2 linked regions of the Macaca mulatta genome follow. The protein of the gene in region 1 purifies or fractionates together with the protein of each later gene. This does not show direct contact. Links are inferred from orthologs where the notes say so. Each region holds a gene or a part of one and is shown in the gene's direction. Other genes may lie near its edges. The genes, in order: CDK7 and GTF2H4.

Region 1 (3,809 bases):
GGAACGGCTGGAAGTTTGTTGTTGGTTTTTTTGTTTGTTTGTTTGTTTGTTTGTTTTTTGAGATGGAGTCTCTCATTGTCACCCAGGCTGGAGTGCAGTGGTAAGATCTCGACTCACTGCAACCTCTGCCTCCCAGGTTCAAGCAATTCAACTGCCTCAGCCTCCCGAGTAGCTGGGGTTACAGGTGCCTGCCACCATGCCTGGATAATTTTTGTATTTTTAATAGAGACAGGGTTTCGCCATGTTGACCAGGCTGGTCTTGAACTCCTGACCTCAGGTGATCTGCCTGCCTCAGCCTCCCAAAGTGCTGGGATTACAGGCGTGAGCCACCTCGCATGACTGGAACAGCTGGAATTCTTTTTCTTTTCTTTCTTTCTTTTTTGGGGGACGGAGTCTCGCTCTGTTGCCGTGGCACGATCTCAGCTCACTGCCACCTCCACCTCCCGGGTTCAAGCGATTCTTCTGCCTCAGCCTCCCGAGTAGCTGGGATTACAGGTGCCTGCCACCATGCCTGGATAATTTTTGTGTTTTTAGTAGATACGGAGTTTCACCATATTGGCCAGGCTGATCTTGAATTCCTCACCTCATGATCCACCTGCCTCAGCCTCCCAAAGTGCTGGGATTACAGGCGTAAGCCAGCATGCCCAGCCCCAACAGCTGGAATTCTTATACACTGCTGGTGCGAAAGCAGTGAAATGATAAAGCCACTTTGGAAACAGCTTGGCAGTTTCTTATACAATTAAATACACACCAGCCAAATTAAAGCAAAAAAAGATTTCACACAACACATTATCAGAAAGTAATAGGAACACACTAAATGCTCAGACTGGTGGTGATTGAGTCCATAGCCTATTGTGATAGGTCCTTCCAGCATCAGTACCGTTAGTATTATGATCTATAATAGCATCACTAATATTGTGATTGATAATACTAATCAATAATCTTGTGATCTAGCAATACCTCTGCTAGGTATTTATCTAAAAGAAAGAGGCCGGGCACAGTGGCTCACACCTATAATCCCAGCACTTTGGGAGGCTGAGGCAGGCAGATCACCAGAGGTCAAGAGTTTGAGACCAACCCGTCCAGCATAGCGAAACCCCATCTGTACTAAAAATAAAAAAAAAAAAATTAGCTGGGCGTGGTGGCAGGTGCCTGTAATCCCAGCTACTTGGGAGGCTGAGGCAGGAGAATCAATTGAACCTGGGAGGTGGAGGTTGCAGTGAGCCGAAATTGTGCCACTGCACTCCATCCTGGGTGACAGAGTGAGACTCCCATCTCAAAAAAAAAAAAAAGCCAGAATTCAGTTGGTACACAGATGTTGGGCTTTATTAATAATTGTCAAAACTGGAACAATCCAAACATCCCTCATTCTGACTGTACAAACAAACTGAAATACTACTCAGGTATAGAAACAAACTATTGATAACTGCAACAACATAGATGAATCTGAAATGCGTTATGCTAAGTGAAAGAAGCCAGGCTAAAAAGACTATGTATTGAATCATTTCATTTATATGATATTCTGGAAAAGGCAAAACAAAAGGAACCAGAAACCAGATCAGTGGTTATGGGAACTTTGGGGTAAAGGAAAGAAGTAAGTACAGAGGGGCCTCAGGGAATTTTGGGAGGTTACGGAACTATGCTTTGATTATAGTGGTGGTTACATGACTGGATGCATTTGTCAAAACGCATGGAACTATACACTAAAAAGGGTATGCTTTACCTTAAATCTGATTTTAAAAAAAGAAAAGGGGAACTTTTAGTTCCTAACTGATAAATCTAGAAATAAACTGACATTAGGCACAGCTCACAAATAATGCCATCAAAACTCAGTCTTACACTTTAACTCAGCTCTGTTTTCTTCTCTGTTGCCTTCTTCATGTGTACAGTTCTCAATATGGTGTTCCAGATACTTCTAGGTATATGTTTGTAGAGTTTAATAATACCTGAGGAATGAAAGTGCTTTCTTTTCTTTGATTCTAGCACACTTGTCTTGTATCCCTGAACCAGTCACTTGGCCAGGAGACTGCAGTGTGATAATGGGGATGCCTGGGTCATGTGCCTACCTCTGGAGGCCTTAGGTTGGCTCAGTCCTACCTTAACCATGTGGACTAAGCTGAGAAGAGATGGCTTCCCAAAGGAACACTAAATGCTATTGTTAGAAGCATTTAGAAGATGCAAGCAAAAACAACAGGTGTTTGCTACTTTCATGCGAAAGCAGTAGAGGACAAAGTACTGCTTTCTTTCCAAACCAGAAATGCTCTCCCTACCCATCTAACTCTGGAGATTCTGACAGTGCTTCCTGAGGAAACTTAGATAACCTCTCTTGAGAGTCTCCTGTATTGATACTTATATTTTAAGTCTATAAATTGTTTTATATGGTAGAGTTTATTTGAAATAATAAAGGGTACCCGTATATTGTATACTTGCTTTACAGGTTATAATAAAGGATAATAGTCTTGTGCTGACACCATCACACATCAAAGCCTACATGTTGATGACTCTTCAAGGATTAGAATATTTACATCAACATTGGATCCTACATAGGGTAAGGTTTTTAATATTGCTTCTTTATAGCAGTCAAGTTTTATAGAGCCAATTTAGTACATAATGGCCTGAACATGTAAATTGTTTAACAATATGAATTTATAGCTGACCGTTTTATCCCATCTTTTACCTATATATTGTTCTCTTCAGTTGTTCCAGCAGTTGGTGCTGTGAGGACTCCATATTACTATGTGAAATTTAGAACTAGAAGAGATCCAGTCTTTCTTTTTTTTTTTTTTTTTTTGAGATGGAATCTTGTTCTGTCACCCAGGATGGAGTGTAGTGGCACCATCTTGGCTCACTGCAAGCTCCGTCTCCTGGATTCACGCCATTCTCCGGCCTCAGCCTCCCGAGTAGCTGGGACCACAGGCGCCTACTACCATGCCCAGCTAATTTTTTGTATTTTTTTAGTAGTGATGGGGTTTCACTATGTTAGGCAGGATGGTCTCAATCTCCTGAACTCGTGATCTGCCCGCCTCGGCCTCCCAAAGTGCTGGGATTACAGGCGTGAGCCACTGTGCCCAGCCCCCTCATTTTTTTTTTCTTTTTTTTTTTTTTTTTTGAGACGGAGTCTTGCTCTGTCGCCCAGGCTGGAGTGCAGTGGCATAATCTCGGCTCACTGCAAGCTCCACTTCCTGGGGTTCACACCATTCTCCTGCCTCAGCCTCCTGAGTAGCTGGGACTACAGGCGCTCGCCACCAAGCCTGGCAATTTTTTTTTTTTTTTGTATTTTTAGTAGAGATGGGGTTTCACCGTGTTAGCCAGGATGGTCTTGATCTCATGACCTCGTGATCTGCCTGCCTCGGCCTCCCAAAGTGCCAGATTACAAGCATGAGCCACCACGCCCAGCCCCGGCCCTGGCCCCCTCATTTTATAATAGACAAAGAGCTAAGTTGCTAAGTGACCTGGCCATGGTTATTTTTTTTTTCAAGGTTAGCTGCTGATAACAGACAGAGTATTAAAACATGGGTTTTGGCCCAGGCGCAGTGACTCACTTCTGTGTTCCCAGCACTTTGGGAGGCCGAGGCAAGCAGATATCTCGAGCCCGGGAGTTCTAGACCAGCCTGGGCAATATAGTGAAAACTCATACAGAAATTAGGTGGGTGTGGTGGTGCACACCTGTAGTCCCAGCTGCTCAGGAGGCTGAGGTTGGGGAATCACCTGAGCCCAGGAGGCGGGGGTTGCAGTGAGCTGAGACCTCACCACTGCACTCTAGCCTGGGTGACAGGAGTGAAACCCTGTCTCAAAAAAACAAAAAAGAA
Region 2 (4,246 bases), on another chromosome or scaffold:
GCCCGGAGTGTGCATTATCCCAATTTTACGGGGAGTAATTGTGCTCACGGAATCCAGTTTTGTGGTCCCTAAGTCTAATCGGTTCACCACCAAGTCGCCACAGCGCGCCTCCGCACGGAAGCCCTCCAGGCACTTCTACTTTCCCCGACCCGCCTCCCGCTCCATCGGGTTACATGCGCCGTTAGCAGCGTGGGCGGAGTTGGTTCTGGCAGAACCAACTGGTCCGGCTTCTGGTGTCTCCCGCTCTCTCAATTAAAAGCCGGCTCCTTGCCTTTCGGCTTCCCCACCGTGCCTTTCGGGATTTGTAGTCAGACGCACTTCAGCCGGCTCTAAGGAGAGCAAAGACAAGACTCCAATTCCCAGCATCCCCCGCGCCGGGAGTGTGCATCGTCTATTCTAATCCTCTTCACTTTTCCACTCCTCCCCTTACCTCCCTTCTCTTCTGAATTCTCCATTCTGGGCTCTTGCCTGTGAAATCTTTCGTCGCTTTCCCCATCTTTTCTTCGCATTTTTTCACCATCTTTCCCTCAGTTTCCAGGAGCCAATGCGAGACTTTGGCTCCGATTAAGCGACGGCCCGAGACTCGGGGTGCGCGAGGAGGATCGACAGAGTGGTGAGGGGACCTAGGAGGGCGGGAGTGGGAGAGGTATGAGAGAGACAGGTGAGTGAGAGGCGAGGAGTGGGAGGAAGGCAGGGAGAAGCTAGGAGATCGGAAGGCGTGGGTCAGGGTGAATGGGGTGAACTAGACTTGGGAAGGGAAAAGAGGTGGCTTTAGATTTGGGAAGCATGGAGGGGAGAGGTTACCGCCGTACTTAGCAGAAGTGGGCTAAGAGATAGAAGATAGGAAGTTCGGGTAGATTTGGAGCTTATAGACTGATCTGACCAGGAGGGATGGAAGAGAGAGGTGTGGGCTCAATTTTCTTTGTCTCTGTTTAGCCGAAGATGAGACAAGTCATTGAAATACAAAATGATCTTGCAAACACAGGACAGTTGACAATTCTGTCACTTGGAGCAGAGGAAAGACTGGAGTTGAAGGGCAGAAACAGGGTGAGGAGGCAAGAAAGGGATGGAGATTGGTCAGGTTTTTGAGAAACCAGAGGAATTGAGTGTCATGGGAAAGGAGGCCACAGAAAAGGTGGGGTTATTGTGGGGACTCATGGATCTGGAATCAGAAAGGTCAGGGGTGACACTGGCATGGATGGTGGGGGTGCGCTTCTGATGTCTGCATTCCTCAGGTGATGGAGAGCACCCCTTCAAGGGGACTGAACCGAGTACACCTACAATGCAGGAATCTGCAGGAATTCTTAGGGGGCCTGAGCCCTGGGGTATTGGACCGATTATATGGGCACCCTGCCACTTGTCTGGCTGTCTTCAGGTGAGGATCCCCTTCATGGCAGGGAAATGTAATGGGGTCTGCGGACTGGAATAAAATATAACAGATAAAAGTGTAGCAGGCTGGGGTAGGGGTGGGGACTCGGGGTGCGGCTTGGAAATTGCTCCAAAGTGTGGGGGCCAAAACAGCAGGACTGGTAAAGTTGTGGTGGAGTGAGATGAGATGTTTGAGAGTTAATTGAGGGCAGAGATGCAGATACAATGCAGCTTCTGATATTAACCTTTGACCTCTGTCCCTGTTCAGGGAGCTCCCATCCTTGGCTAAGAACTGGGTGATGCGGATGCTCTTTCTGGAGCAGCCTTTGCCACAAGCTGCTGTAGCCCTGTGGGTAAAGAAGGAATTCAGCAAGTAAGTCTCAGCCAGATACAAATTTCTCAACAGCTACATTTCCCAAACTACTGTTCCTTGGAGCACTTCCAGGACGTATTAATAGGTATATCACAAAACTTAAAAATAAATACATTTGGGAAACTCTGCATACTGCCTTTTCCCTTTTATTTATTTCCCAGCTGACCTCTTGCTTTCAGATGTATCTTCCCTCTTACAGAGTTATGTGTGATATCTGTAATAAGGCTCTGATAGGTAATGCAGTAAAGAATTTGTCTTCAGATACTAATATCACTCTGTGGAACAGTGTTCCAAGGATCAGCAAGTTCAGAACAGGCAGAGAGGTGGCTTTTATGGTCCTCCTTTTTGTTCTCCAAATACCCTGCTCACCTCTCTGCTTCTGTTCCAGGGCTCAGGAGGAAAGTACAGGGCTGCTGAGCGGCCTCCGGATCTGGCACACCCAGCTGCTCCCAGGCGGGCTCCAGGGCCTCATCCTCAACCCCATTTTCCGCCAGAACCTCCGCATTGCCCTTCTGGGTGGGTATGTCACTTCTCTCTCTTCCTAAGCTAGGGCAGGGGAACTGCTGCTTATTAAACCGCTAATTACAGTTTGGGAGGGGGAGCTCCTGGGGGCCTCCCCGGAACCTTGTGGTCTCCACGTTGGGAGCTCCTTTAGGAGTAAGTTGGATCAGCTGCAGTGTGTGGTGTAGGAAATGTCCCCCACTCATGGCCCCTGAGGATAAGGGTGGAAAGATGGCAGAAGGGTGGCAAGGAACACAGACAGGGTTCCTTACTCTTTTTTTGTTGTTTTGTTTTGTGTGTTTTTGAGACAGAGTCTCGCTCTGTCACCCAGGCAGAGTGCAGTGGTGCGATCTTGGCTCAATGCAGCCTCCACCTCCTGGGTTCAAGTGATTCTCCTGCCTCAGCCTCCTGAGTGACTGGGATTACAGGCAACCACCAGCTAATTTTTTGTATTTTTTGTAGAGATGGGGTTTCACCATGTTGGCCAGTCTGGTCTCAAACTCCTGACCTCAAGTGATCCGCCCATCTTGGCCTCCCAAAGTACAGGGATTACAGGTGTGAGCTCCTGGCCAGGGTTCCTTACTCTTGGCCCATCCTGGCCTTAGGGGGAAGGCCTGGTCTGATGACACAAGTCAGCTGGGACCAGACAAGCATGCCCGGGATGTTCCCTCCCTTGACAAGTATGCCGAGGAGCGATGGGAGGTAAGCACTTGGGACTGTGTGTGTCTCTGCTTGTGCTTCTACTTCCCATGGCCCTTGGGGCATGGTCTCCCTGTTCTCTTCTGTTCTTCAGGTGGTCTTGCACTTCATGGTGGGCTCCCCCAGTGCAGCTGTCAGCCAGGACTTGGCTCAGCTCCTCAGCCAGGCTGGGCTCATGAAGAGGTGAGGAAACCGGAGGTATAGCAGCTCTCTGCAGTGCCATCTCCTTGGGTCCCTAAGAAATGGTATCTGCGGCTAGTCAAGCTCAGAGGACATTAGCTGGAAAAGGCAAGCTGAGTAGAATACAGCCAGAGATACAAAGAAAAAATGTGAGCGGACAAGTGGGGGTAGTAGTCTTTCTCTGCATATCACCGTCATTGTCCCGGTCTTTGTCTGTAGTACTGAACCTGGAGAGCCGCCCTGCATTACTTCCGCTGGCTTCCAGTTCCTGTTGCTGGACACGCCGGCTCAGCTCTGGTACTTTATGTTGCAGTATTTGCAGACAGCCCAGGTGAGGACGCCGGGGCCACTTGCCAGCATGCTCTGCTCCTCTCAGGTCTCACTGAGAGATTCCTGCCTACAGACTGTTCCCTGATTTTCTCTTCTCTGTCCCTTTCTTCCCATTGTCTCCCTCCCATCCCTCCTCCTTTGTCTCTGCCTCTTTCTCCCTAGAGCCGGGGCATGGACCTAGTAGAGATTCTCTCCTTCCTCTTCCAGCTCAGCTTCTCTACTCTGGGCAAGGTAAGCAGGGGGCTGAAGGGTATAGAGATGGGAAGGAAAAAGCAAATTGTGGGGCAGTAGAGTGAGAAGATAAGAATGAACACAGAACGAGCAGAGGTGGATGGAGAAAGACAGAATGAATGATGGGGTTGGGGGTGGGTGGGTTGTGTTTTGGACCCCAGCTGGAAACCTCTGTTCCTCAGGATTACTCTGTGGAAGGTATGAGTGATTCTCTGTTGAACTTCCTGCAACATCTGCGTGAGTTTGGGCTTGTTTTCCAGAGGAAGGTATGAGCGCCTAGATGAGTGGCTTCCAGGGAAGAAACAGGGTGGTGTGTTGCCTTCGCCTTTAAAAAGGAGTGGGGTCCCGGGGAAGTAGCAGGAAGCAGTTGCCAGAACTGAATACTTGGGTCTCTTGGGGGAGAGAAGTTGGAGGTTGAGGTTCTGCATCTTGGGAGGGATCTGATATTTCAGGCAGGAAGATGTAAGGCAGTGAATTCTGAGACAAGGCATCTGCCTTTCTATCCTTTCCAGAGGAAATCTCGGCGTTACTACCCCACGCGCCTGGCCATCAATCTCTCGTCAG

What was found.
Region 2: the proteins of CDK7 (region 1) and GTF2H4 purify together in Homo sapiens (affinity purification with mass spectrometry; 7 studies listed by BioGRID and IntAct, with this or other methods). This does not show direct contact. The link is inferred for Macaca mulatta from reciprocal best matches to the Homo sapiens genes CDK7 and GTF2H4.

What each region holds. Positions count from the first base shown.
Region 1 is NC_133411.1:77,322,032-77,325,840, forward strand, and holds part of CDK7 (cyclin-dependent kinase 7), read left to right. Parts: intron 1-2,437; coding exon 2,438-2,548; intron 2,549-3,809. UniProt on the Homo sapiens protein: Serine/threonine kinase involved in cell cycle control and in RNA polymerase II-mediated RNA transcription. Cyclin-dependent kinases (CDKs) are activated by the binding to a cyclin and mediate the progression through the cell cycle.
Region 2 is NC_133409.1:152,144,132-152,148,377, reverse strand, and holds the start of GTF2H4 (general transcription factor IIH subunit 4), read left to right. Parts: upstream 1-1,238; coding exon 1,239-1,375; intron 1,376-1,636; coding exon 1,637-1,741; intron 1,742-2,129; coding exon 2,130-2,261; intron 2,262-2,847; coding exon 2,848-2,944; intron 2,945-3,035; coding exon 3,036-3,124; intron 3,125-3,340; coding exon 3,341-3,452; intron 3,453-3,613; coding exon 3,614-3,682; intron 3,683-3,864; coding exon 3,865-3,948; intron 3,949-4,194; coding exon 4,195-4,246. UniProt on the Homo sapiens protein: Component of the general transcription and DNA repair factor IIH (TFIIH) core complex, which is involved in general and transcription-coupled nucleotide excision repair (NER) of damaged DNA and, when complexed to CAK, in RNA transcription by RNA polymerase II.